Linked DNA regions of Arabidopsis thaliana. The protein of the gene in region 1 interacts with the protein of each later gene in a pairwise test. Each region holds a gene or a part of one and is shown in the gene's direction. Other genes may lie near its edges.

What was found.
Region 2: the proteins of CXIP2 (region 1) and CPSUFE interact in a two-hybrid assay, tested with the Arabidopsis thaliana proteins (one study listed by BioGRID).
Region 3: the proteins of CXIP2 (region 1) and IND interact in binary tests that used the Arabidopsis thaliana proteins (3 or more experiments, as listed by UniProt).
Region 4: the proteins of CXIP2 (region 1) and AT5G09830 interact in a two-hybrid assay, tested with the Arabidopsis thaliana proteins (one study listed by BioGRID).

Annotation. Positions count from the first base shown.
Region 1 is NC_003071.7:16,029,525-16,036,110, reverse strand, and holds CXIP2 (CAX-interacting protein 2), read left to right. Parts: upstream 1-2,941; 5' UTR 2,942-3,056; coding exon 3,057-3,437; intron 3,438-4,263; coding exon 4,264-4,764; 3' UTR 4,765-4,926; downstream 4,927-6,586. Other genes in the region: FAC1 (AMP deaminase, putative / myoadenylate deaminase), read left to right, coding at 1-18, 487-600, 735-875, 972-1,124, 1,205-1,258, 1,340-1,450, 1,524-1,697, 1,921-2,001 and 2 more. UniProt on the Arabidopsis thaliana protein: May only reduce GSH-thiol disulfides, but not protein disulfides. Participates probably to the maturation of iron-sulfur proteins and to the regulation of the redox state of the BOLA proteins.
Region 2 is NC_003075.7:13,380,553-13,386,522, reverse strand, and holds CPSUFE (chloroplast sulfur E), read left to right. Parts: upstream 1-2,881; 5' UTR 2,882-2,951; coding exon 2,952-4,067; 3' UTR 4,068-4,325; downstream 4,326-5,970. Other genes in the region: UKL4 (uridine kinase-like 4), read right to left, coding at 1-126, 310-389, 565-661, 868-980, 1,312-1,381, 1,670-1,761, 1,864-2,020; AT4G26490 (Late embryogenesis abundant (LEA) hydroxyproline-rich glycoprotein family), read right to left, coding at 5,292-5,970. UniProt on the Arabidopsis thaliana protein: Participates in cysteine desulfurization mediated by NFS2 in chloroplast and NIFS1 in mitochondrion. Activates the cysteine desulfurase activity of NFS2.
Region 3 is NC_003075.7:40,262-46,534, reverse strand, and holds IND (basic helix-loop-helix (bHLH) DNA-binding superfamily protein), read left to right. Parts: upstream 1-3,337; coding exon 3,338-3,934; 3' UTR 3,935-4,870; downstream 4,871-6,273. UniProt on the Arabidopsis thaliana protein: Transcription regulator required for seed dispersal. Involved in the differentiation of all three cell types required for fruit dehiscence. Acts as the key regulator in a network including SHP and ALC that controls specification of the valve margin.
Region 4 is NC_003076.8:3,057,103-3,062,906, reverse strand, and holds AT5G09830 (BolA-like family protein), read left to right. Parts: upstream 1-4,081; 5' UTR 4,082-4,137; coding exon 4,138-4,197; intron 4,198-4,781; coding exon 4,782-4,804; intron 4,805-4,892; coding exon 4,893-5,091; 3' UTR 5,092-5,304; downstream 5,305-5,804. Other genes in the region: AT5G09840 (Putative endonuclease or glycosyl hydrolase), read right to left, coding at 937-1,825, 1,995-3,880; AT5G09820 (Plastid-lipid associated protein PAP / fibrillin family protein), read left to right, coding at 5,527-5,804. UniProt on the Arabidopsis thaliana protein: May act either alone or in interaction with glutaredoxin as a redox-regulated transcriptional regulator, or as a factor regulating Fe-S cluster biogenesis. The GRXS17-BOLA2 heterodimer binds a labile, oxygen sensitive iron-sulfur cluster.

The DNA of each region.
Region 1 (6,586 bases):
GAAGCTAGTAAATATCAGGTAAACGCCACATGCATCTTTGTTATTTTTATTCTTGATCAACTGCAGTGGTCTTATGCATTTAGAACGAACATTATAAGAGAGGAACACTGTTAGAATCAAATCCATTCTAACTAAGCTTTTGATATAATGATTTACTGGGAATACATAGAGACTTAGGATTTGGTAATGGATCTCCTCCTATTCCCCCTTACAAATGCAAAGCTTGCTATTTCTTGTTGCATATGCTTTATAGCTGCATTAAACTTTAACTCATTTGTTATATTAGGAAAAGATATAGTAGTAAAATCCTTGGATTTTAGTCTCAGTAACCATATCAAACTCACACTCCCTCACATATGCGCATTGACTTGAGTTCCAAAAAACATCATGGCATTGCTCAAATTCTGTGTCAAGAAATCTTCTTGCCAAAGCAGATCCATAATTGCTCTGTTTTGTTTTTCCTGATGTCTACGTTGAACACTGCAGATGGCTGAATACAGAATATCTATATATGGCAGAAAAATGAGCGAGTGGGACCAACTCGCTAGTTGGATTGTGAACAATGATCTATACAGTGAGAATGTTGTCTGGTTAATTCAGGTTAGCCATCTCTTTGATACTTGTGTGCTCCATGTCCTTCCATGAGTGTATGTGTTTTTTTTGTCTCCGTGTGTTTGTAACATGACTGCTAACTGAGCTATATTTTCCTTGTTTTCTGTTTGTCTGCTCACTAGCTCCCACGCTTGTACAACATTTACAAGGACATGGGTATTGTGACATCGTTCCAGAATATCCTGGACAATATATTCATTCCTCTGTTTGAAGCCACGGTAGATCCTGATTCCCATCCTCAGCTCCATGTTTTTTTGAAGCAGGTTAGCATTCATATCTTCAAATAACCTCTAATCCGCATGTCTTTACACAATAAAGAGTTGGTTTGACTGGTTGCTGTCTCTTGTTTGCTATTTCAGGTTGTTGGATTTGATTTGGTTGATGATGAAAGCAAACCTGAAAGACGTCCCACAAAACACATGCCCACTCCAGCTCAATGGACTAACGCATTCAATCCTGCATTTTCGTATTATGTCTACTATTGTTATGCTAACCTCTATGTGTTAAATAAGGTACCATTCCTCTTAGTCGCTTCTGTAACTAACTTGGTGTTCTCAAAACTGTGTAATATGGAGTAACTATTTTTCTTCAGCTTCGAGAGTCAAAGGGCATGACTACTATCACGCTACGACCACATTCTGGAGAGGTGTGTTATTTCTTCCTTTGTGCTAGATAAACAGTTTTCAGTTACAGTTCAGTGGAATTTTAACATGTCTACAAATTTCAGGCTGGTGACATTGACCACTTGGCTGCTACGTTTCTAACATGCCATAGCATCGCACATGGAATCAATCTGCGAAAGTCTCCTGTGCTTCAGTATCTGTACTACCTCGCCCAGGTTTGTGGAGACTGCCTGCATGTATTACATATGTATTATTGTTTCTGTTCTAAGAAGACATTTCTTTTGACAGATTGGTCTGGCCATGTCACCACTGAGCAACAACTCTTTGTTTCTAGATTACCACCGGAACCCGTTTCCTGTGTTTTTCTTAAGAGGTCTCAATGTTTCTCTGTCTACTGATGACCCCCTTCAGATTCACTTAACTAAAGAACCTCTCGTGGAAGAGTATAGCATAGCTGCATCAGTAAGTCATAATCTTTCCATTATGCAGTCTTGCCACACATCATAGGCCTTGAAAAGTTGATTATATTTTTAAAAGTCTTATTAGTTATTACCTTTAAATGATTTATACTGATCTTCTGCAATTGCAAACACGAAGAACAATGAAATTTCTCTCTATACATCCTTTTCTTCTAGGTTTTAGTTATATTTATGTATTAACTGAAGATGATAACTGGATTTTTCAGGTTTGGAAGCTGAGTGCGTGTGACCTGTGCGAGATAGCTCGTAACTCAGTGTACCAGTCAGGTTTCTCACACGCCCTGAAGGTACTTGTTATATCAACATGGCCCATAGTATGAATGAACAAGATGTCTCTGTTCCGATCTACTAATAATACTAACTTGTTGAGATGTTCCAGTCGCACTGGATTGGAAAAGATTACTACAAAAGAGGACCTGATGGAAACGACATTCACAAAACAAACGTGCCACACATAAGGGTGGAGTTCCGTGACACGGTATGGAATGAAATATATTTATTCTTCACACAAGTTAATTTCTCTTTGTAGGAAAACAAATTAAAAATATGAAGTTGATGCAGATCTGGAAAGAGGAGATGCAACAGGTTTATCTGGGCAAGGCTGTTATCTCTGATGAAGTTGTTCCATAAAAACCACAATCAGAAATGGCAAGACGTAAGAATCCAACATGTATGTAACAACTCAATGATCTTATCACTTCTGTTACAACATTTTCTTATGATGTCAATGATTGAATTTCAGATTGCAGGGGAACAAAGAGAGCATTTTGAGAAGTATACGAAAGCAGGAACCTAGTAGATAGGGTAATAATATGAGTGGCTCTGTGCCCTGAGAAAGCGATTAGGCTGTGCCAAAATCTTATTGTTTTATAAAGCTTTTTAGATAATGAGATACAAAGAGACCAGTTGAGAACCGGTTTTAATATAATGGATTTCAGTTTTTGGATTACATACTGTTTTAACTTGGATTCAGATTCAATTTTTAATCAGAAATAGCATTATGTTCGAAATCCAATTTTGTTTGTTTGTTTTGGTTCTGTTTTAAACCATACTGAGATCTGTTTACCGGATTAAACACATGTTTTTGGGTCACATTGGTAGATTTGGCTTGATCATGAAGTGAACTAGACAAATGTTCCTTTTGTTTCATAACAGACTGAAGTATGGAATGTGTAAGAAAAAAGAAACTAAAGCGGGTCCCACTTTTCCGAATTATGGTATTTAAAACCCAAGTATCATAAGGCCTTAATAACAGTCCAATTCAGGCCCAATGGATAAAATCCTATGTCAAATAAAAGAGCTCATCATTTTCCACCGATAACTTTTCTCAGCTCCGACAAAAATGGCTGCAATCACCATTTCTTCCTCCTTGCACGCCTCAGCCTCTCCGCGTGTTGTTCGTCCACATGTTTCTCGAAATACCCCTGTGATCACCCTCTATTCACGCTTCACACCATCCTTCTCCTTCCCATCTCTCTCCTTCACACTCCGTGACACAGCTCCGTCTCGTCGTCGTTCCTTCTTTATCGCCTCCGCCGTCAAATCTCTAACGGAGACGGAGCTGCTTCCAATCACAGAGGCTGATTCAATCCCGTCCGCTTCCGGTGTATACGCTGTATACGATAAGAGCGACGAGCTTCAGTTCGTCGGAATTTCTCGGAACATCGCTGCGAGTGTCTCTGCTCATCTCAAATCTGTGCCGGAGCTTTGTGGCTCCGTTAAGGTACTTATCCATGATTTCATATAGAGGAGTAGCATGTCTGTTACTATAACGAAGGATTCTTTGTTTTGTTGTGGTTGACTTTTGTTTATTACTGTTCATAGATTTGGGAAGTGTTTTGGTAAATGAATACTACAAAAGTTCATCACTTTAGTTCCAGAGATAGTATTTCATATCATTAGGATCACTATTGTTTGCAAAACTAGAGCTAATGAAGTTCTTGGTTCTGTTGTTGGTAAGAGTTCTTTTAACAACACTTACCACACATTATGATTAGGAGATGCATCAATAGTTCATTTTGTATATGTTACTTAGGAGTTAGGACTTGTTTTTTTAGCATTTTCTTTTGATTAGTTTTTTAGGGAAATTCTACTCTATAGATACAGGACAGTGCGCATTGGCGAGATTTGTCGAGGTTTGAGAGGTATATCGGTTTTGTACCAATGGAGAGAACTGATTCTCTTTGGCATTTTGATTACCATTCTGTGTCAGGTTCTTTTAATTAATAACAAGAGCTTTTGTTTTTTTTGTGTCCATGATCCTTAACTGTATCAGCTTACAACAGTCAAATCTAAAGATTGCTCTTGAGAAATTTACATTTTTATGGGTTGTATTATTATCTTAAGAATTTACATTTTTCCTCTTTCTATCATTTATTTGTCACTTATTGCTTATATTTTGCTTATGATTTACTTATGTTATGATTATTTTAGTGTTTATTTGCTCCATTGACTCAATAGGACTTTGTTTATGCTCATGTGATGGATATTGACAAGTTTTGGTATTGTTGATATATCTTCCATAACTGATTTCATCATTGTTTTGCTAGGTTGGAATAGTAGAAGAACCAGATAAAGCAGTTTTAACACAAGCATGGAAATTATGGATAGAAGAACATATAAAAGTAACTGGAAAAGTTCCGCCGGGGAATAAGTCAGGGAACAACACATTTGTCAAACAAACTCCGAGGAAGAAATCCGATATCCGTCTCACTCCAGGTCGCCATGTTGAGCTCACGGTTCCTTTGGAGGAACTGATTGACCGTTTAGTGAAAGAGAGCAAAGTGGTAGCTTTCATAAAAGGATCAAGGAGTGCTCCTCAATGTGGATTCTCACAGAGAGTTGTTGGGATTCTTGAAAGCCAAGGAGTTGATTATGAAACTGTTGATGTTCTTGACGATGAGTATAATCATGGGCTAAGGGAGACGCTTAAGAACTACAGCAATTGGCCAACGTTTCCACAGATATTTGTGAAAGGAGAACTTGTAGGAGGATGTGATATTTTGACCTCAATGTATGAAAATGGTGAACTTGCCAATATCTTGAACTAGTTTCATCCGATTTTCTTCTCTATTTCTAGTTGTAACTCCAAACATTCATTATAGAGAAAACATGCTTGGATTCTCTTCCATAGTTACAGATTCGTTTTCTGTTTTCCGCATTTATAAAAGGTTACAGATTCTATACAAATCTAAGAGTAGGTTTAAAACGCATAACCATCCACTAAATTCACCTATTTTGTGGTCATTTAACCAATGATTTTTTTTTTTTTTTTTTTACACTAATTGTCCCTTTAAATATATATGTTGAAACAAAACATAATTGGAAATGGAGTTAAGTAACTATTGTTACGTTAAATGATTTAATTGATTAATTTAGTAGCATTCTTATTCTTGTAGCACGTTTATTAGAGAATTATTGTTCTTCTTTGACATAATCTTTGGGTGAACTAACACAAAATATTCATTTTAAGTACTAAATTCTCATTTGTAGGATGAATATCTCAAAAATAACACAAATATTCTATGGTATTCATTTGTTACAACTTATATGAGTAACAAACGTTCATGAAAATTGAAAAATATGATGATGACGAGGTTAGTTTATGGGTTGTATTTTCTTTTTATTTTTTTTTTGGAAACTGAAAAAAATTAAATGAACAAATAAAACAACAAGTCAACGGTCTCAAAAATTCGATTACATAAAAACAAAACAATAAAAAAATATAAGTCAGACTGTAAAATAAGTTGATAGGTGTTGATTCTGAAAATCACACAATAAATTTGTTTAAAGGGGATAAACAAATTTACTTAACTCTCTCTCGCTATTTAGTGACCAAAGGCTCAATGAAAAGAAGAACAAAGTTGGTTAGAGACAAAGTTAGGGTTTTGCTCAAGAACAATGAAGAAAACTAGGGTTTTATTATTAAGTTTCGGATCCTTAGAATAGAGGACAACTCCCTCCCCCCTCCCCCTATTTATACATTATTAAGACGATTAAAAGATATGTTAAACTTTCAATTCTTCGAGGCTTGAATCTTCTAATTTCCTTTATCTTCGAAGACTTGCTATTTTCAAAGGAGAAAACTTCTTTTTCTTCGAATTAGGAAGTCGGCTAGGCGGTCTCCCTACTTGGGGCTAAAGTCGGCAAATGACCTCCTTATTTTGGCTCATTAACAGGCTAAACCGGGATACCCCGGTTTGATTACAATCTCAGTCTAATTCGTAATTCCTCTGGTTTAAGCCGGTATTGTCGGAGGTGCTAATTCCTGCACCAACAATAGAAATAAATGTAGTCGATGAAAATGAAATTTTATAGAAGTTAGTAGATTTTACTTTTAGGTACGATTCTCTTCAATGTGTTCCCTCTCGCTGTGATTGATTGATACTCTGATGGTAAAAATCTCTCTTTGTTTGTATCCGTCTTATTCACAGCCAAAGATGAAGAACAATTTAACATTTACACCAAAAAAGATGAAGAACCTAGCGAAGAGTGCATTCGTGTCTCACAAGGGAGAGCTCAAGAGCATTTTCGTGGTGAAGAAGCTTCACTTGACTTGGGTCATGTCGCCAAGAGTTTTGCTCAGAGAGAACAACCGTCTTTAGTTGGGAAATCGCATGATAAGGAATCAATGAAGAGAAAAAGAGACGAATGTCAAAAAGGGCAACAAGCTAAGAAGAGAAAGAAGATGAGTGGTAGTACTAGTGCCAATACAAAAAAAAAAAAACTTGATCGAATCGGTTTGGCCATCATAAACCATAGCATAAGTTTGTTCATCGAAATTTTTGAAATATCTAAGTTTTGAACTTAACTATGTTTTTGTTAACAATAATAATTACTTGTATCAACCAGAAACAACAAACTGAAATTTAG
Region 2 (5,970 bases), on another chromosome or scaffold:
GCAAATATGTTGCACAATTAAGTCAATAGCTACATGATTATCCCCACCACGAGGGATTATAATATCTGCATATTTCTTCGTTGGAAGAATGAAGTCATCAAAAGCAGGCTTCACAAACTTTGAGTACTGCATCAAAAGGTTGACATCATATAAAATATGGGTAGAAACATATAGATTTGAAAACGCCGAACTAATATGAGAAAAAAACATACAGATCAGAGCAATGTAATATTTAAAATGCAAGAGGTAAACCATTTCTTGTTGTTCTTGATGATAATATATACAGTAACAATACTAAGACGGGCTAACCTGGTCAAGTACTGTGCCGATATCTCTACCATTCTCGACAGTATCTCTTTTTATCCTTCTTGCCAAACGAACGTCAGCATCTACGCAGAAAACAAAATAAGCAATGTGAAACAGCAAAATCTTAAAGCATAAGAAGTTGTTCCATCATGTGAAATTTTGTAGAAAAAAAAAGCCAAGTGAATCTACAAAAGGGAAATGGAATGTAGTCGAAACAAGAGTTTACAATAATTATAACGGGAAGAGGCAACAAATTACCTGTGCAAACAAAAATCTTCATGTTCATCAACTTTCGGACGCGTGGATCATGGAACAAAAGTATCCCTTCAAGAATTATTACATCTGTAGGATTTACCTGCAGAATGTTTTTCAAAATCCTAGCATCAAATAAGATTAAATTGATCTCCCCTTAAATCCCCAACCAGATAAAAGCCAGTGGTGACATCTAAGAAATTGCTATTGTTACAGAAAGAGGCAGTGAGAAAATGAAAAAGGAATCTCAAATTTATAAACATCAAGTAACAATATGATAATGAGTGATGCTGAGAGGGAAGGTGGTACCCTTCTGAAAACACTGCTCCTGTAAGTTTTAAAATCATATTTTGGAATATCTACAGCTTGCCCTTGCCTCAATTTCTCCATACAAGACAATAAATGCTCTGTGTCAAATGCGTCTACAGAAACAACAACAATTCATTAGAATCCTGGATAAAAAGAAATTAACGGTGGATGACAAAGAGTAATGCACAAGACTTTTTCTCATAACTCCCAGCAACTAGTAATGTGCTGTCAGGGATGAAATTGCTTTAATAAAAGAGAATACATCAATTAGTAAGATATCACTGAATAATATGGCTGTTAGTTATGCCTTAATTATCCCAAAGAAGTATTATAAAAAAAAAAAAAATGGCCAAAGAAGCTAGGAAAGATTTTTTACTCCTGATGACACTATGTATTGACAAGAGTAGATTACAGAAAGCAATTACACTCCAAATATATTCTCACCTGGATGATCAAAGTTGTATTCATGAACTCTAGCAAGTTCTTCTTCAGTCAGATTATGATAGAACGAGTCCTGCCAAAAATCATTATCATAGGATATTAAGTCGAGCAATTTGTGGTTTATCATGATGCCAAAGGAATTTGAGAATTAGATAAATAGACTGACATAAATATCTAAACAATGGTGACAAGGTTGAACAATGTTAAACTTCAGCCATATATAAGTTATTAGCTGGTAATATTCTCCTTTTAGATCTCTAAATTGTGTGGAATTCAATTGACTTCATATACATTCGAAACACAAATCAAACCGGTGGTTATCACTTAGCTCTATGAAACTTTATTAGCAAAACAAAATTACCAGGTTAATAAGTACAACACGCTGATCGTGCAGTTGCTGGATTATCATATCACAAACAGTAGTCTTTCCCGATGCTGCGCCTCCAGCAACACCTAACCAATTCAAGTCACAACATATCAATCAAGACCATTCGTCAAGCTTTTTTTATCCACGACCATATATTAATCAAAAATGAAAGCAAAAGCAGAACTCACCTATTACAAAAGGCTGTCTTTGGATATCTTCTGATGCAGAAGTGGTTTCCTTAAGTGCACTTGGTTCCAACCCATTCATGTGCCCATTCACGTGTAAACCAGAAAAATGTGCCCGCGAGGCAGCTTCGATCATGTCAACAACGGACTTAGAACCCATCCCGACGACAATTCTGGACATTGTACATTGGTAAAATAACTTAAATCTTTATCACAATCATGCATAAGCAAACACAATACAAGGAATCTTACAACTTCATCTAGATTCTAAACAACAATGTGAATCAAATCCAACTTTATCCAGCAAAACAGAGAAGAAAAGAGTGAAAAATTTCAGCTGCAACCAAAAACTGTAAATCCAAACTCTTTTGATAACCATAGATCAACAAATGCGAGAACAATCCAAAAGAAACAAAACCCTCAAGTTATAACATTTAATCAAACATGGAAGAACCAGAAGAGCAATGATCGATCATCTCGAGGTGAAATCGTACTTACATGAAAAAACAGATCGTTCAAAAGAGATAAGTCGTAAAAATGAGATTTTTAAAATTACCCAGATTCAGTTTTGCTCTCAAGGATCTAAGGAAAGCCTCAAATCAGAAAAAAAAACGGAGATGCAGTTTCTTTCTGTGGAAGTAGACAGAAACAATAGAATCTCAGATAAGAAAGGGACAGTTTTTTAATTTGATTAAATTTGATAAAAGTGTTTTTATTTAATTTAATTTAATTGCTTACATTGGTAAAAGCTGGATTCGGACATGATTGATTTGATATATAATAATGGCGGACGTGTTTGAGGTGACGAACGCAAGAGAACGAAGAACCAGGAAGACGATGCTTCAAAACAAAACAAAAAAAATCTAGATATCTTTTTCTTTTCCTTATTTATGAAAAGAGTCGTATACTTTCTAATTATTCATAATCAACCCCACAATTGATTTTACATCTAATTTTTGGATTTTGGTACATTCCCGGTTTAATTCCCGGTTACTACCTAATTGGCGGTATTGGTTTTTGACTCAGAAAAAGTGAAGAAGGAGAGCTTTCATCATCATCTCAGTCTCTCTCGAAGTTTCAAGTTCGCGACTATGGCAGCAGCGATGTCTTCTTCTTGTTGCGCTTCCTCGCTTCGTTTAATCCCATTCAAACGGACCTTGTTTTCTTCAATCCATTATCCGGCCAAAACCCTTCTTCTACGACCACTAAAACCGTCGGAAGTTCCTTCCTTTCGCCGGACGATCATCACTTTCCAGAAAATTTCAACCGGGATTGTTCCTCCACCATCGGCTTCATCATCTCCGTCGAGCTATGGAGACCTTCAACCAATCGAAGAGCTTCCACCGAAGCTACAAGAGATCGTCAAGCTTTTCCAATCGGTACAAGAGCCAAAGGCTAAATACGAGCAGCTTATGTTCTACGGGAAGAATCTGACACCTCTCGATTCTCAATTCAAGACGAGGGAGAATAAAGTAGAAGGATGTGTTTCTCAGGTTTGGGTTAGGGCTTTCTTTGATGAGGAACGTAATGTTGTGTATGAAGCTGATTCTGATTCGGTTCTCACTAAAGGGTTAGCTGCTCTATTAGTCAAGGGTTTATCTGGAAGACCTGTCCCTGAGATTTTGAGGATAACACCTGATTTCGCTGTTCTTCTCGGGTTGCAGCAGAGTCTGTCTCCTTCTAGAAACAATGGATTACTTAATATGCTTAAGCTGATGCAGAAAAAGGCTCTTCATTTGGAAGTCAAAGGTGAGGAAGATTCAAGTTCTGGAGAGAGTTCAGAATCCAGCTTTGTGTCTATTCCTGAGACTAAGGACGAAGCTAATGTTCCGGAGGTGGATTTGGAGTCTAAACCTGATCTAGTTGAGGATTTGGGAACAGAAAAGATTGATGATTCTGAGAGTGGGTCAAATGTTGTTGCTTTAGGGAGTAGAGGGATGAGGATAAGAGAGAAATTGGAGAAGGAGCTAGATCCTGTTGAGTTAGAAGTTGAAGATGTTTCTTACCAGCACGCAGGACATGCCGCTGTTAGAGGTAGTGCTGGTGATGATGGGGAAACACATTTCAACTTGCGAATCGTTTCGGATGCTTTCCAAGGTAAAAGCTTGGTCAAGAGACATAGGCTGATATATGACTTGTTGCAAGATGAGTTGAAGAGCGGGTTACATGCTCTCTCTATTGTGGCAAAGACTCCTGCTGAGGTTTGAGGGTGTAACATTGGAAGAAGTCAGGTCCTGATTCTTTTACTTCTTTTGGTCCATTTGCTTTGGATATTGTTCTCTGGACCTTCTAATAATGTTAAGAGCTCGATCAGGATTGTGTTAAATGAGAGATAGATATTGAAGGATATAAATAATGTTTTCGCCAATCGCCACATGATTCACCATTTTCAAACTGATTTCCCTTTATCTTATGAGGGTCAAGGTCTTTTTTGTTTTGATATGGTTTCCTGATATTAAGTTTTGTACCTACGCTTTGAGAGATGAATAGAGAGAATGCTCAAGGTTGTTGTCCATTTGGCTAAGTTTGAATCGTTAGAAAGATCACAGCACCTAGGGAAAGCGAAAAAGGAATTTGGGGAGAAAAATGGTACTATATTCATGCCACCATTAGACATGCGAAGTTTCTTGTTCATTTTTTAATTCTTCTAGAATCTAGATACTCAAAGTTGGTATTGTCTAATCAAGTGATGCAAGTTGGTTTGAGGGACTACAGAAAAAAAGAAAGAGATTTGGTTGCTTTACTTCTTTCTGATAAAATAAGTAAAAAATGTGAAAGGAGTTTCAGATGATCCCTGTTTCAGTCTACCGTTAGACATGTGATGTTTCTTAAAGCCCCATTAGCTGAGACTTGTGGGGTTTTATATACAATCAGCTTTACATACCTGTCTAGTGAAACCAGCTGTGGTTTTAGCCAACCAATTTCTGCAACTTTTCTTTCCTGAGACCATTGTATCTTTTTTTTTTTTTTTTTTTTGATCAAAGTTGAGATTTTGAATATTAAAATCCTCTGTGTTGGTATATGCTAAAAAATGGTTAAGCTTCTTCTTGTGTGTTTTACTGATTTTGATTACTTTAAGTCCTAAAGGGAACCAACATAGGCATCTAATGCTTGTACCTCTTTTGCTTTTGGTCTTAATTCTTTTCTCTGGTGGTTCAGGTATGTTGAACTGTATTAAAATACAACATTGGTCTTGGCACTGTGTCTTGTGGATCAATTATGGATCTGCTTCATAGAAAGATAATATCTTTCCAGTTTCTTTATCTTGGAAATAGTACAAACTCCGATCTCGGTTCTTGGATAGAGTTCACTAGGTCTTTTTCTTTTATACAAGTTGTGGGTAAGCAAATAGAAATATAGTTGAATAAACATGCCAAAGCTAAAGACTTTGAAGATGACTACTGACTCAGAGAACTGTACCGTATTCTTTTTCATTTCTTCGTCGTGCAATTACGAGAAATCAGGATTCCGGTTGGTGGACCGGTCATCTGAAGTTGGCACCTCCCGTGCAGCTGATAAGAGTAATGAATCATTCCAAAATGAGCTTTGACTTTGAAGGTACCTCTAATCTCATATTCTATCTTGTTGTTTTCCAGCTGTCTCCTGAGTTCCACCGCGTGGTTTACAGGCAAGCCTACCAAACTAGAGATCAAACGGATTGGTTCCAACCTCGTCTCATGCTTTTTCTGCAAGAATGGCTGGACCACTTGCGCTGCAATCAATCTATTGAAGAAGAAGAGCTCAATCCGAAGCTTCTCAAACTTCACTTCTATCTTCTTATTAGGGTTAGTGAAATTCACCAGCATGGACAAATCGCCGTTGAAAAACTCCGGCGTGTCGAAGTAGATCGTGTGTAGGTTTGCGTTTGGGATGTCGAAAACAGGTATTCTTGGTCTAATCGCAAGAAACACTATCAAAGTGGCAATCGCAAAAAAGATAAGCAAAAGGCTGAACACAAAACAGAAACCGGCAACACACCATATCCAGAGACTGGTCCTGCTACTCCTTGGCTGACGGAGAATCACCCTATCTTTCCTCGGCTCTGCATCAAGACCGTTGAATCTAACCGTTGCTGGCTTTGTTAAGACCATTTGGCCAACTGGTGTGGAT
Region 3 (6,273 bases), on another chromosome or scaffold:
TAACAAGTCGATAAAAATCACTAACATAATATAAAATGAAGACAAAATCACTAACAAGTCCATTAAATCACTAACATGATCGTAAAAATGAAGATCTAATCATTGTTTGTCGCCGAAGATTATGATTTTGGAGAAACAAAAAATGACAACTGATGGCCACTAATGGGATAGGGAATATTTATTTATTTCCAAAAAAAAATCATACTAAAATTTTGGAAAATAGAAGATTTGGTTGTAAATGGTATCTTAATCTGATTGGTTATTAATTTTAATTAGGGGTTAATTCAATTAAAAAATTATCGTTTTGGAAAGTGTGTAATCCAAATCGTTGCGAGCGAGTAAAAATACACGCATGATTCTGTTTGGAAATTTGGAATCCAAATCGTTTGGTTGTTTCGATTTTCTCGCCGAAGATTTTTGCTTTAGAAGTAACAAAATGATAATTAGTGAGCAAAGTTAAATATTATTAACGGAATATATGTTATTTCCAAAAAGAAAAGTCTCATCCTCATTCTTTTGAAAATAGAAGATTTGGGAAATCGTCATAGTAATATATTATTTCTTTGTATCAAATACATATCCATCTACTATCCGGTTGTTGACCCTTAAAGCTTTTGAAGACTACTAGAATAATGCAAATACCATATGTCCATATCCATCCTTTTCTTTTGTTTGAACTGAACATTCTAATTTTGTAAAAGAAAAAACCTTATGTTAATATCACCGTAGGCAAAAAAAATATCTCATCATATTAAATTTTTATTATAAGATTATACATTCTCTCGTTGTAAGAGTTACTCCAATTGCAAGTGTTGTATTAACTAATAAAAAGGACGAAAGTAGGAAGCTTATAATTAATTGATGTTGCATAGTACTGGTATATTGTTGATGAATATAACAAGTATGAACATTAATGCATGAAACGGGGTATTTTGTCTTGAACTCATTAAAGGCAATGTGAAAAGAAGATGTGAGGTCTCATTTTGAAAATTTATCTTCTAGCTTTGTCGATTTTAAATCTATGAAATGAACGCAACATATAGAAATTTCATGTGGACAACGACATTTAGACGGTATCTTAATTAGACCGATTAATTAGTAATATACTTATATATATAATTAGTGGTGATTATAAGTTTACTTATCCACTTGAGAATTTAAACAATGGGCAATACCTTAATGTCGAAAGAAGCCGTCCCCACTTCGTGTAATGAGTTATGGGGGAGAGATCCTGTTAAATCGTCAAATAAAACAACTTAAGAACTAGAAATTGACACCAAAAATCATAAAGAGAACGTTGAAGAAGTCATTTATCGTATCCAGCTCATATTTCCTAGCTAAGATCAAATCAAGGCCGTTGAAAGGGCTTGTAAGAAAATGTCGAAGAAACCGTGGGGTTTAGAAGAAAGACAAGAAATAGAAGAACAATGATGTTAAATTGCCTATTTTGGTGTATAGGAGTTGTCAAAAGAGGAGAGAGAGAAGAAAATTAGGTCAAAATAATGAGCACTAAAAATGGAGACATGTGTTGAGTAACTATTACAAGAGCGACTTATGCTTCCTTATGGCAATGATATCCAAACCAAAGTGCAACGCTCCTTTTTTGCCCTAATTTCGTAAAGTCTCTCTCCTTCTTCGTCCTTAGGAAAAACCCTAGAAATTTAATCCCTTGTTCTTGATCTTGCTTTTTGAGTAACCATGATTTTGACCACACACTATTTCTTCTATCTTTTGTGGTCTATAGGATTTTGCTTTATATGTGTTTCTTGTATTGCTCCGTACGTACGTATACGAATTTAAATGGTTATAACAAGGTTTATATAAACTAGCACAAATGAGTCCATGAAATTTGTTAGCGAAAAAGGTAGAAATATATTGAGTCTTTAAACGGCAATATATATAATTTTGCTGCAAAACTTAGCTTTAATCATGATCTAATGATATTTTCTTTAATTTCCTTTGCCAAATTAATCACATGCACGGATTTTTGGCAAGTTATGTGTCGAATTCTTCCATTCACACAACACTAAACTTAATTAGAACTCTAGGAAATATTTTAAAATGACAACTTTATCGAAAAAAATTTAGTTATGAAAACAATTCCAGAATTAAACATGAGCTATATAATTTAAGATAAAATGAAGTAATATTGATATGTATGTAATAACATATCTGATTGCGGTAAAAAAAAACATATCTGATTAAATTGTTCATGCAGGCCCATGTCACTATGATGTCATCACGTTTTTATTTTCACAATAACTAATATATATTCAAAAAAATAGTTTTGTCAGATTAAATTTTTTTTGGTGGTCAGCTTTCTCCAACCTACTAAACTAGTTTGGAATGTTCTCTTCTTTATTTTTCTTTTTCTTGATTTCTTATGTTTTTTATTTATGGAATTTTAAGACGGATTGTTTAGGTCGTTTCTCTCTTTTCTTGTTTTCTAAAGTTACTTTTGTAAACTCATCTCCTCCCAATTAGACAGTCAATCATATAGTTATCTTTTAATATATGTCTAGTTGATAAAAAAAATGAAAAAATACTGGTGGTAGTTCTACTAATGTTTGTGTAAAAAATCTGATATTATGAATCTAATCAATTTCTTTGATCGTATAATGTGGGTTAAATTTAGTAATTTTTTACATAAATAAGAACTGTAATGTTGATGTATATTGGGGAATCAGTATATTAGCTTGGGTAACTATACTTCTGGAAATACTTGAAGATTTAACTATTTGCAAAATTATAATTTAGTCCCGAAAAATACAGACGACGGGACACGACAACATATAAGCAGGTTTGAATCTTGGAAAATTTTGTATACATAACCTATATAAATACTAATGTTCTGGTTGGGTTCAAAAGCCTTTTCAAAAGTTCCATTTTTTAAATTCAAGGACATTTTACATAGGAAATAAGTTGAGTCATAAAAAATAATGGTTATTTTGTAAGGTTTTTTTTTTGATTAAAACGCACATATTAAGAAGTTAGTTTTTTTTCACTACCAAATATCAATTAATTTAAAACCATGCAACCATTCATAAAACAATACTATTAAAGAATATAAATAATCACAAAATATTAAATACACTTAAAATTTACATATAAATTTACAAAACATCTAATTAATTGAAACAGAAAGGAAAAGGTAAAATATATCATAAAATGAGACATATATCCTATAAAAAAAAAATGAGGCATATGAAGTAAATAATAAGAGACATGCATGTAAGCATTCGGTTAATTAATCGAGTCAAAGATATATATCAGTAAATACATATGTGTATATTTCTGGAAAAAGAATATATATATTGAGAAATAAGAAAAGATGAAAATGGAAAATGGTATGTATAAAAAGAAAGGAGTGTGCGACTCTTGTGTCTCGTCCAAAAGCAGATCCAACCACAGCCCCAAAAGAAGCATGATGGAGCCTCAGCCTCACCATCTCCTCATGGATTGGAACAAAGCTAATGATCTTCTCACACAAGAACACGCAGCTTTTCTCAATGATCCTCACCATCTCATGTTAGATCCACCTCCCGAAACCCTAATTCACTTGGACGAAGACGAAGAGTACGATGAAGACATGGATGCGATGAAGGAGATGCAGTACATGATCGCCGTCATGCAGCCCGTAGACATCGACCCTGCCACGGTCCCTAAGCCGAACCGCCGTAACGTAAGGATAAGCGACGATCCTCAGACGGTGGTTGCTCGTCGGCGTCGGGAAAGGATCAGCGAGAAGATCCGAATTCTCAAGAGGATCGTGCCTGGTGGTGCGAAGATGGACACAGCTTCCATGCTCGACGAAGCCATACGTTACACCAAGTTCTTGAAACGGCAGGTGAGGATTCTTCAGCCTCACTCTCAGATTGGAGCTCCTATGGCTAACCCCTCTTACCTTTGTTATTACCACAACTCCCAACCCTGATGAACTACACAGAAGCTCGCTAGCTAGACATTTGGTGTCATCCTCTCAACCTTTTTCATGTTGATATATTATATATAGATGCATAAAGATTCGATCCAAGATTGTATGGGTGTTTTAATATTATTATTCTAAGATATATGATGTACAATTGTGTACCAAGTTTCTTTATCTTGATATCATATGCATAAATAATTGGTGAATAAAAAGAAGATATTGATTGTAAACAAAAAAAAGAAGATATTGATTGTTAATTAGGGTTTGATCATTCTGTATGAAAGCTTTGGCCTGCAAATTAATTTTCGATATATATATATATATATGGAGAATATATATCAAATACTTTTTTAATTTGACTATAATTTGTATCAATTATCTGAATCTGATGAGTGTAGGTTATATATGGATTAGCAAAAAAGAAAACAACCATTATTACGCACCTACATTAAAAATCATCCACCAAAGAAGAAACCATCCTCAAGAGGGTTCCCATATTGGAGAATAATGAAAAATTTAAGAAGAAAAGGGTCGAGATTTCGACGGACAAGCATTCTGATTATTACAAACATATTTTAGAGAAATTTAGAAAGAAAATTAAACTAAAAATTAAAAAGAAGCAAACTGAGATAACTCTCTGTCTCAATGGAACGCCGGCCAGAAGTGATCATCGTGATTTTGGTTACCATCTTGATAAGGTCAATCGAGGAGTGTATCCGTTTCAAACACCACACGTCCACTATATTTCGCCAAGTTAAATTGAAAGGAAGATGAACAATCAAGAGATGTGGTAGTTATTTTGAATTAAGCATATCCAAAAAGACCCTAGGCGAAGCTGAGAGATCGCAAGTTCGAGTGACACTTGGAACGAAACTAATATTACATGATGTGGTTTCGGGCCTAAAGGAATTACGGGCTTCGGCCCAGAACCTCCTGATATTCAAAAAAAAAAAAAAAAAAGATGTTTATAATAATGATCTTTGAAATTAAACCTCTACATTTATCATAATATTCCTAAATAGTACGTAAATAAAAAACATGCAACCCATGCATATCCAGTCTTAAGTTTATACATATAGATAAATCTCAAACCATACAAATACCATTGTTCTTGTGATTTTTTACTTCCATTTCCTTTTTCCTCCAACGGTGTCATATAAAGCTAACAAATAACTCGTGATTAAACGGACATTTCCAATATGGGCTTTTGGGCCCATAGTGATATGGGTCTCCTTCCGATATCTTTGACTGCGCGTGCCTCCAAAGTTGCTGTAGAGAACAGAAAGAGGCCTTCGATCCTGGCTTTGTCCAGACAAAAGCTGCCTCATCTACCTGGAACTTCGGTCGAGGTAGTGGTGAAGGGGGGATATGTAATCTCAGACAACTCCACAGGTGACAAAACTAGACGTAATCCTAATGGGGACAGGGTCGGAGCTAGAGATAGCTGCAAAGGCTGGAGAGAAGCTAAGAGAAGAAAGAAAAGCAGTGAGAGTAGTGTCATTGGTGAGTTGGGAGCTGTTTGATGAACAAAGAGAAGAATACAAAGAAAGTGTGTTACCTTGAGAGGTTTCAGCAAGACTGAGCATTGAAGCAGGGTCGACCTTTGGGTGGGAGAAGATGGTTGGCTCCAAAAGAAAAGCCATCGGTGTAGACAGTTTGGAGCAAGTGCACCAGCCAATGTGCTCTACAGGAAATTTGGACTCACCGTGGATACGGTTATTGCAGCCGCTAAAGACTTTTGTTAAGCTAAGCTCTCTTTTACACATCATAAAGACATTTTCTACGTTGTTCAAGTGTGCCTTTCCACATACATTTACCCGGACTCACTCACTAGTCACTATAAATCAATATCGTTATGTTTTTATCTTACAATAAGTGAATTTGAAGAATAAAATAGAGCTTTGATGGATATTACTATTATATATGCGGTCTAGTAGATGCGTGTTGTTATTATATTATTCCTTGAAGATTACTCTTTGCTTTTTTGTACCCCATGGATAAATGTGCCTTGGTATTAAGTTGCAAATTTGATTTAATTAATCCCTAAACATGTTACTAGTTAGAGTTTGCACGTGACGATCTTGGGCAGCACCTAAACATGTATTTGTGTGCGTAATTTTGTAATAAGTAAGTGCATCGAGTTTGATGAATCAGTATTTGAATGATAATTCGATGAAAGTACATTTGTTGCCATAAGAACCCTAAAGTAAGATCCATAAGGATGATGAAAGCTTCATTAATAATAAAAGTAAAGTTAATCTACCTATAATAACTAAATTAATCAAGAGTGAAACTAAATCTGTAGAAAATTAAATGTAAGAGATAGAGACTAGAGTGATTAATTA
Region 4 (5,804 bases), on another chromosome or scaffold:
GGCCTTAAGACCCGTCGTAATGGCGTAGGTCCATTGGTTGATGAAGAAGGAGACGCATTTTTTTATAATCTTTTTGACCGAATCATTGTGGATACGCATGAGCTGTTTTGTTTAATTATTGTATTAAAATATGTATACATAGCCTTTAATGGTAATTAATATTGGTATATTTTAAGGGAACAAGACAAGATTAGGCTTAAATAATAAGATCAATTTTCTTTTCTTTATCCATTTCTTAAGTACTTTTATTGGTGTGTGTTTTTAATCGAGTGTCCATTGAGAAGACTCAAGTGACAAAGATGATTCACCAAGCAACTCCACATGTATGTCACAACATTTCATTAAATACTTTTCTCTTACTCCTATTTAATAATTACTCCTTAGATACATCTTTCTGACAACAATTATAAACTTTTTTAGAATTACTAAAATGAAACTACTGGCACAAATTGAAACCCCCGAAATTTTCATTTTTTATTTATAAAAAAAACTGTATAAACATTATGGTCAACAATAAATTATATACCAAATCTAGTTTTGGTTTGTTAACTATTTAATACCTAACTTATAACCAAAAAGCATGTCATTATCACTTTTAAACTCTTCATTTAATCTAATCGAATAAAATGTTTAAATAACTCCATCTTTTATGGAGTACATTTTATTTTTCTATTTCTATTCATTCATTCCGTGCTTTACACATCAACGTTGAAATTAAGAACCAAAATTTAATTTAAAAAATCACGTAATACAGTAAAACCTATCAATAAATGCATACGATGCGACTTGCCACTGAAAAGAGTTTGAACCATATTAATCTTATTTCTCCTTAACCGGATTCGGTTTACCATAGACCAAACCCAAAACCGGCTTCAACTAATTACACTCAATTCCTCGGGAGATTGTTAATTAAACAGTAAACAACCCTCTGACTCACTAGACTTCTGAATCTTTCACAAAAGAATACGTCTTTGTAGGCTTTTGCTTTCTACCGTTGCTTACAAGCTTCCTCTCCACCGGATTCTCCTTCAATTCTCCATCTTTATTTGTGTAATAAGAATCCAGAATTTGCAATAACGAGCTCTCTTTACCTTCTTTACTCATCATCTGTTGCTTCTTCTTCTCTGGGTTATCTCTCTCTGAACCAGAATCTTCTTCATCCTCTGAGAGTGATGGTTCATATACTGGAAGCTTTTTGGTCGTCGGGTGGGTAGTTGTTGTATCAGAAACTGGACCAAGTTCTGCGAATGCCAAGTCCGAATCATCTTCTTTTGACTTGGCATTTGGTGAAGGAGTTGAAGGAAAGATGTATCCAGATGCTATTCTCACTCCATGCATGACTCGAATCAGAGACTGCAGGTTGTCGTAACCGAGCTTGTCAACCGCTAAATGGTACCCATACTCCTCTAAGAAGTCTTTCCTGAAACGAATCAGGCTATACCCTTCAGGGTGTTCCTCTGTTATCTTCTTTATCATCTTCTGACAATCCGCTATTGCATTACTTTTGTATCTTTCCAGCTCTTTCCGGTCCACAGAACCAACAGAAACTCCAGCATGAGCAACGTTCTTGCCGCTTTTCTCACCATTTTGTTTCTGCCACTGTGATTTTGAAGAATCCGAGAAGATTGAGCTCAAACCGTTTGAAGCATGACGGTGGCCAGGGCTAGATCCTTTGATGATTCTGAATGGTAAAGAAGAAGATGGGGTTTCTTCAATCCATTTCTTTTCTGATATTAGCAAAGTAACTAAATGAAGCATGCTTGATTCATCGAGCAGTCTGAGACACGAAGGCCCTTCCTCCTGCACATTTTTAGCCATCACCTCCCTGACCAGGTTAAGACGGAACAGCATTAGCTGAATACTCGTCCCAAAAAAGACAACAAATGGCTAATGCAAGAACCAATTGTAATAGTTCTGAACCTAAGATAGATTTACATATTAATCAATATCTAATCAAAGTCCTGCCAAATCAGGAGGGAAGAGAATGTACGCACCTTGTCCTCGAGTGAGATACTATAGCAAAGCCTCTTGGAGAATTAATGAAAGATTCAATATCACTCCAAAAATACTCTTTTGCAAATATGTCTTGTACTTGAGAATCAACATTGACAAGCTCCTGATTCCCACTAGAGTCTTTGCTAGACTTTGTATTCTTTCCCCAGAACTTGAAACTCTTCAAAAGGCGACCTAAAAAGCCTGGACTTGCATCTTTATCTTTACTGTCTACGTCATCAGCTCCAACTTTTACCTCATCGACCGACTCAGCAACGAAAGAAGGTGAGATTTGAGACATGGGCACAGTTCCCTGACTCGATGACTTTAAGTCCTTATCCTCTTTATGTTTGTTTCCACTTCCCTGACTTGATGACTTTAAGTCATTATCCTCTCTATGTGTGTCTCCACTTCCAGAAACGCTCTTCATTTCTGGGAGATGCTCTAATTCCATCTCAGGTGAACCATACCACAGTCTTTTTAGCTTTTGAAAAAAGCCATCTTCCATGGACGAATCACTCCACGCAACAAGAGCGACTTGATTCGTCTCGACGGGTTTAACATTTGCCTTAACATCCTTCTGGCCGACCAGAATTGGGTCTTGAGAACTCTCTGATGATTCTTCTTTAACAATTTTATCACTCTCCAATACCTTTTCCTGCTTCTTTCCAAGTAAGCCATCTCTTCTTCTTTCAGCAGCAAGCTCTACATCGCTAATTAGCTTTGGTGATGGAGCATTAACAGTTTCCTTATCTTTAATCTTCTGATCAACAGCAGTAGACAAACGAGGACTAGAATCAAGCCGCATCGGAGGCTTCTTTTCGGTAACAGCCCGAATCATAAACAAGCCTTCACTTACTGTAGTAACCTGTAAGATATCTGGCATGGATAAAAGAAACTTCGAAAACTTCTTATGTCCATAGAAATCTTTATCAATAGCCAAGTTGCTCTTACTCAGCTCAGCACGTAGTTCTGTAATGGCAGCCCCCTTGGGATATAAACTCACTATCGAACGAATCTTATCAACAACTTCTTTTGGAATAGGACGAAGGTTAACAACAGCATTCGAATTCACAGACTCGGATAGTTCTTCGATTTTCACACTAGACGAAGATTGCTCAGTAGTGGTAGCAATAGCAAATGGATCAAGAAGAGGAATCCTATAGTGACCATACCAAGAGTTATAAGGACCATCAGGAGGCTGATTAAAATGCTTACCAGTAACACACTCTCCTTTAATCAAAGCATCCCAATCCCACATAATAGAAGCAGCACTACACAAAACACCAGGAGCTGATGATTTACTCGCAAGCAAAATGTTGTAATTGTTCATCCTCAATCTATGTAACACACTTGCAAACTCCTTATCACTAGAGATTAGCAAAAGATGAGCTGGTGGTGGATTCTGAGAAACCCAACACATAAGATCTGTGATTAGAGATCTATCAGCACTGTTCTTACCACCGTTAGGAACATGAGTGAGACTGATTCCTGTAGCGGAGAGAGCGTCTTGGTTTGATCTGGGGAGCTGTAAAACGTCACCGAAGGCTGTGATTGTGATTGGTCCTTTGATTCCGCTGTTTCTGATAGCGGCGGTGATTGATTGTGCTACTTTGTAGACATTGGTGTCTACAGGTAAGTTACAGCTCAGGAAGTCCCACCAGACCGAAACCCTAACGGATCGGGACTCTTCGTCTTGCTGAGGACGTCGAGAGGGAGAATGGCTGGATCCGGAGACGAAATTGGAGCCGGAGGTGGTTGTGGTGGAGAATGGAGAGGAATGAATGTTAGTGATGAAAAGGGTAATTGTTCGACGGTGAGATTGGGTTGTGGAGGAAGAAGAGAGGCGGAAGAGAAGGGATTTGGATGGTAAAGATCCAAACTTCATGGTCGGAGAGCTATTTTTGCTCCGGGAAATGGAGAGACTGAGAGGGTTTTAGGAGTGAGGAAGACGAAGTAAAGGAAAGCAGAGCTTAAACCCTAGTTATTATTTTGGAATTGTCGATAACCGAATGGTATCCCAATTGAACCAAACTAAACCGTACTCTCGCTAAACCAAAACCAAATAGCGTATGGTTTAATATTCTAATTCAATGAGTACAGTAATTAGGGATTTCAATTTTTGTTTGAGAGAGAGAGAGAGAGATGGTGACGAAGGAGCAAGTCGAAGCTTCATTGACTTCGAAACTTAAGCCAATTCATCTCGTGAGTGTTCTTATACTGCTTTCTTCTTTCAATTTCATCTATTGATTAGGGTTTGAAACTTTTGTGGGAAACTTTGAAACCCTAATCATCAAATTGATCTGGGAAAATTGCCAAATTTGAGATTTTTGACCTGCTCACTTTGATCAAAATCATACACTTTGATAGTTGGATCATAAGAGGTACTATGTATTGTAATAATCTCAGCATCTAGATTATACATCACTATGTGTTGTCTTTCAGCTCTGAAACAGAATATAAAAGGTGGTTGTTTGCGTAGTTAGGTGTAATTTGATGCAGTGTGATACTGAGCTCAGGATTTGATGACGTAGTGTTCCTGATGTATTAGCAACTTAGTAGTGAGTGTTCTTGTCGGAAAATTTTATTTGTGTCATGGTTTTTTGTGAACTAGAACTCAAAAAGCAGATCCAAGGATGTGTATAGTTTCTTTGCTTTATAACATGTGAAGATTGAAGTTACTTCAATGTCAATCTATTTCCCTTTTCACTTGATTCATGTGTTCCAATTGTTTCAATCTTTAGCTTTTAGAATTTTTTAGTGACATTGTTTGTTTTTGTGTGTACCAGGAAGTCATTGACATATCTGGAGGGTAAGTACCGGATTGTCAATACACATTTGATTCTCTGGCTTATGGCATAATTTCTTGTTCTTAATATCAGCAAAACTGTTTATTGCAGTTGTGGTTCGAGTTTTGAAGTGGAGGTTGTCTCTGAACAATTCGAAGGGAAGAGATTGCTGGAGAGGCATCGTATGGTGAATGCTGCGCTAGAAGAAGAAATGAAAGAGATTCATGCTCTCTCTATTAAGAAAGCTCAGACTCCACAACAATGGAAGCCACCATCACAAGACTCTGCAACCTTAACCAAAGATGCCTGAATTTCTGTTTTTTAAAAGCCTTGTGACAAAGAACAGAGCATTTACTATGTTGATACTTTGTGGTTACTGTACTCCGATTACTGCTTTTGATGAAGTGTAAACACTTTTTTAAAACATATGCAATTGGTTGCAAAATATAACAAAAATTGGGTTTTTCTCAATTTAGATGGAGATTTTTTTGAGAATTTTACCATGACACCATCTTAAAAAAGAAAAAAAAGACCAATGGGATTGGCTAAATTTTATAATAGAGTCAGTGCAGTGTATGGTGGGGGGGAGAGATAGATGCTAAAAGATGGATAAAATAACCAAAAAAAACTGTCCATTCTCCTCCCCATAAATCTATCTCTCTCTCTTTTTCCTCAAATCCCATCTTCTTCTTCTACTTCTTATTAAGCTCCATTGGGTTTAGAGATTCTGGTGTATAAACTGCTAATGACGAGTAACCTTTTCCAGCCACCATCAATGGCAGCTTCACGAGGAGCAATCTCGAGAAGAACAGGAAACGTGAAAGTATTAGTCTCTTTCACCAGTTCTAATGGCAAAACGCTGAGTTTTAGTGACAACTCATTTAGGCTCAGACCCATGTTCATCGGGAAAGTCACAGAACAGAGTTCTTGTTCCTCCCCAAATGAACAACAACAAGATGAAGAACAAGAACAAGAACAAGAAGAGATTACAGTTTCTCATATAAAAGAAGAGCTCTACGAAGC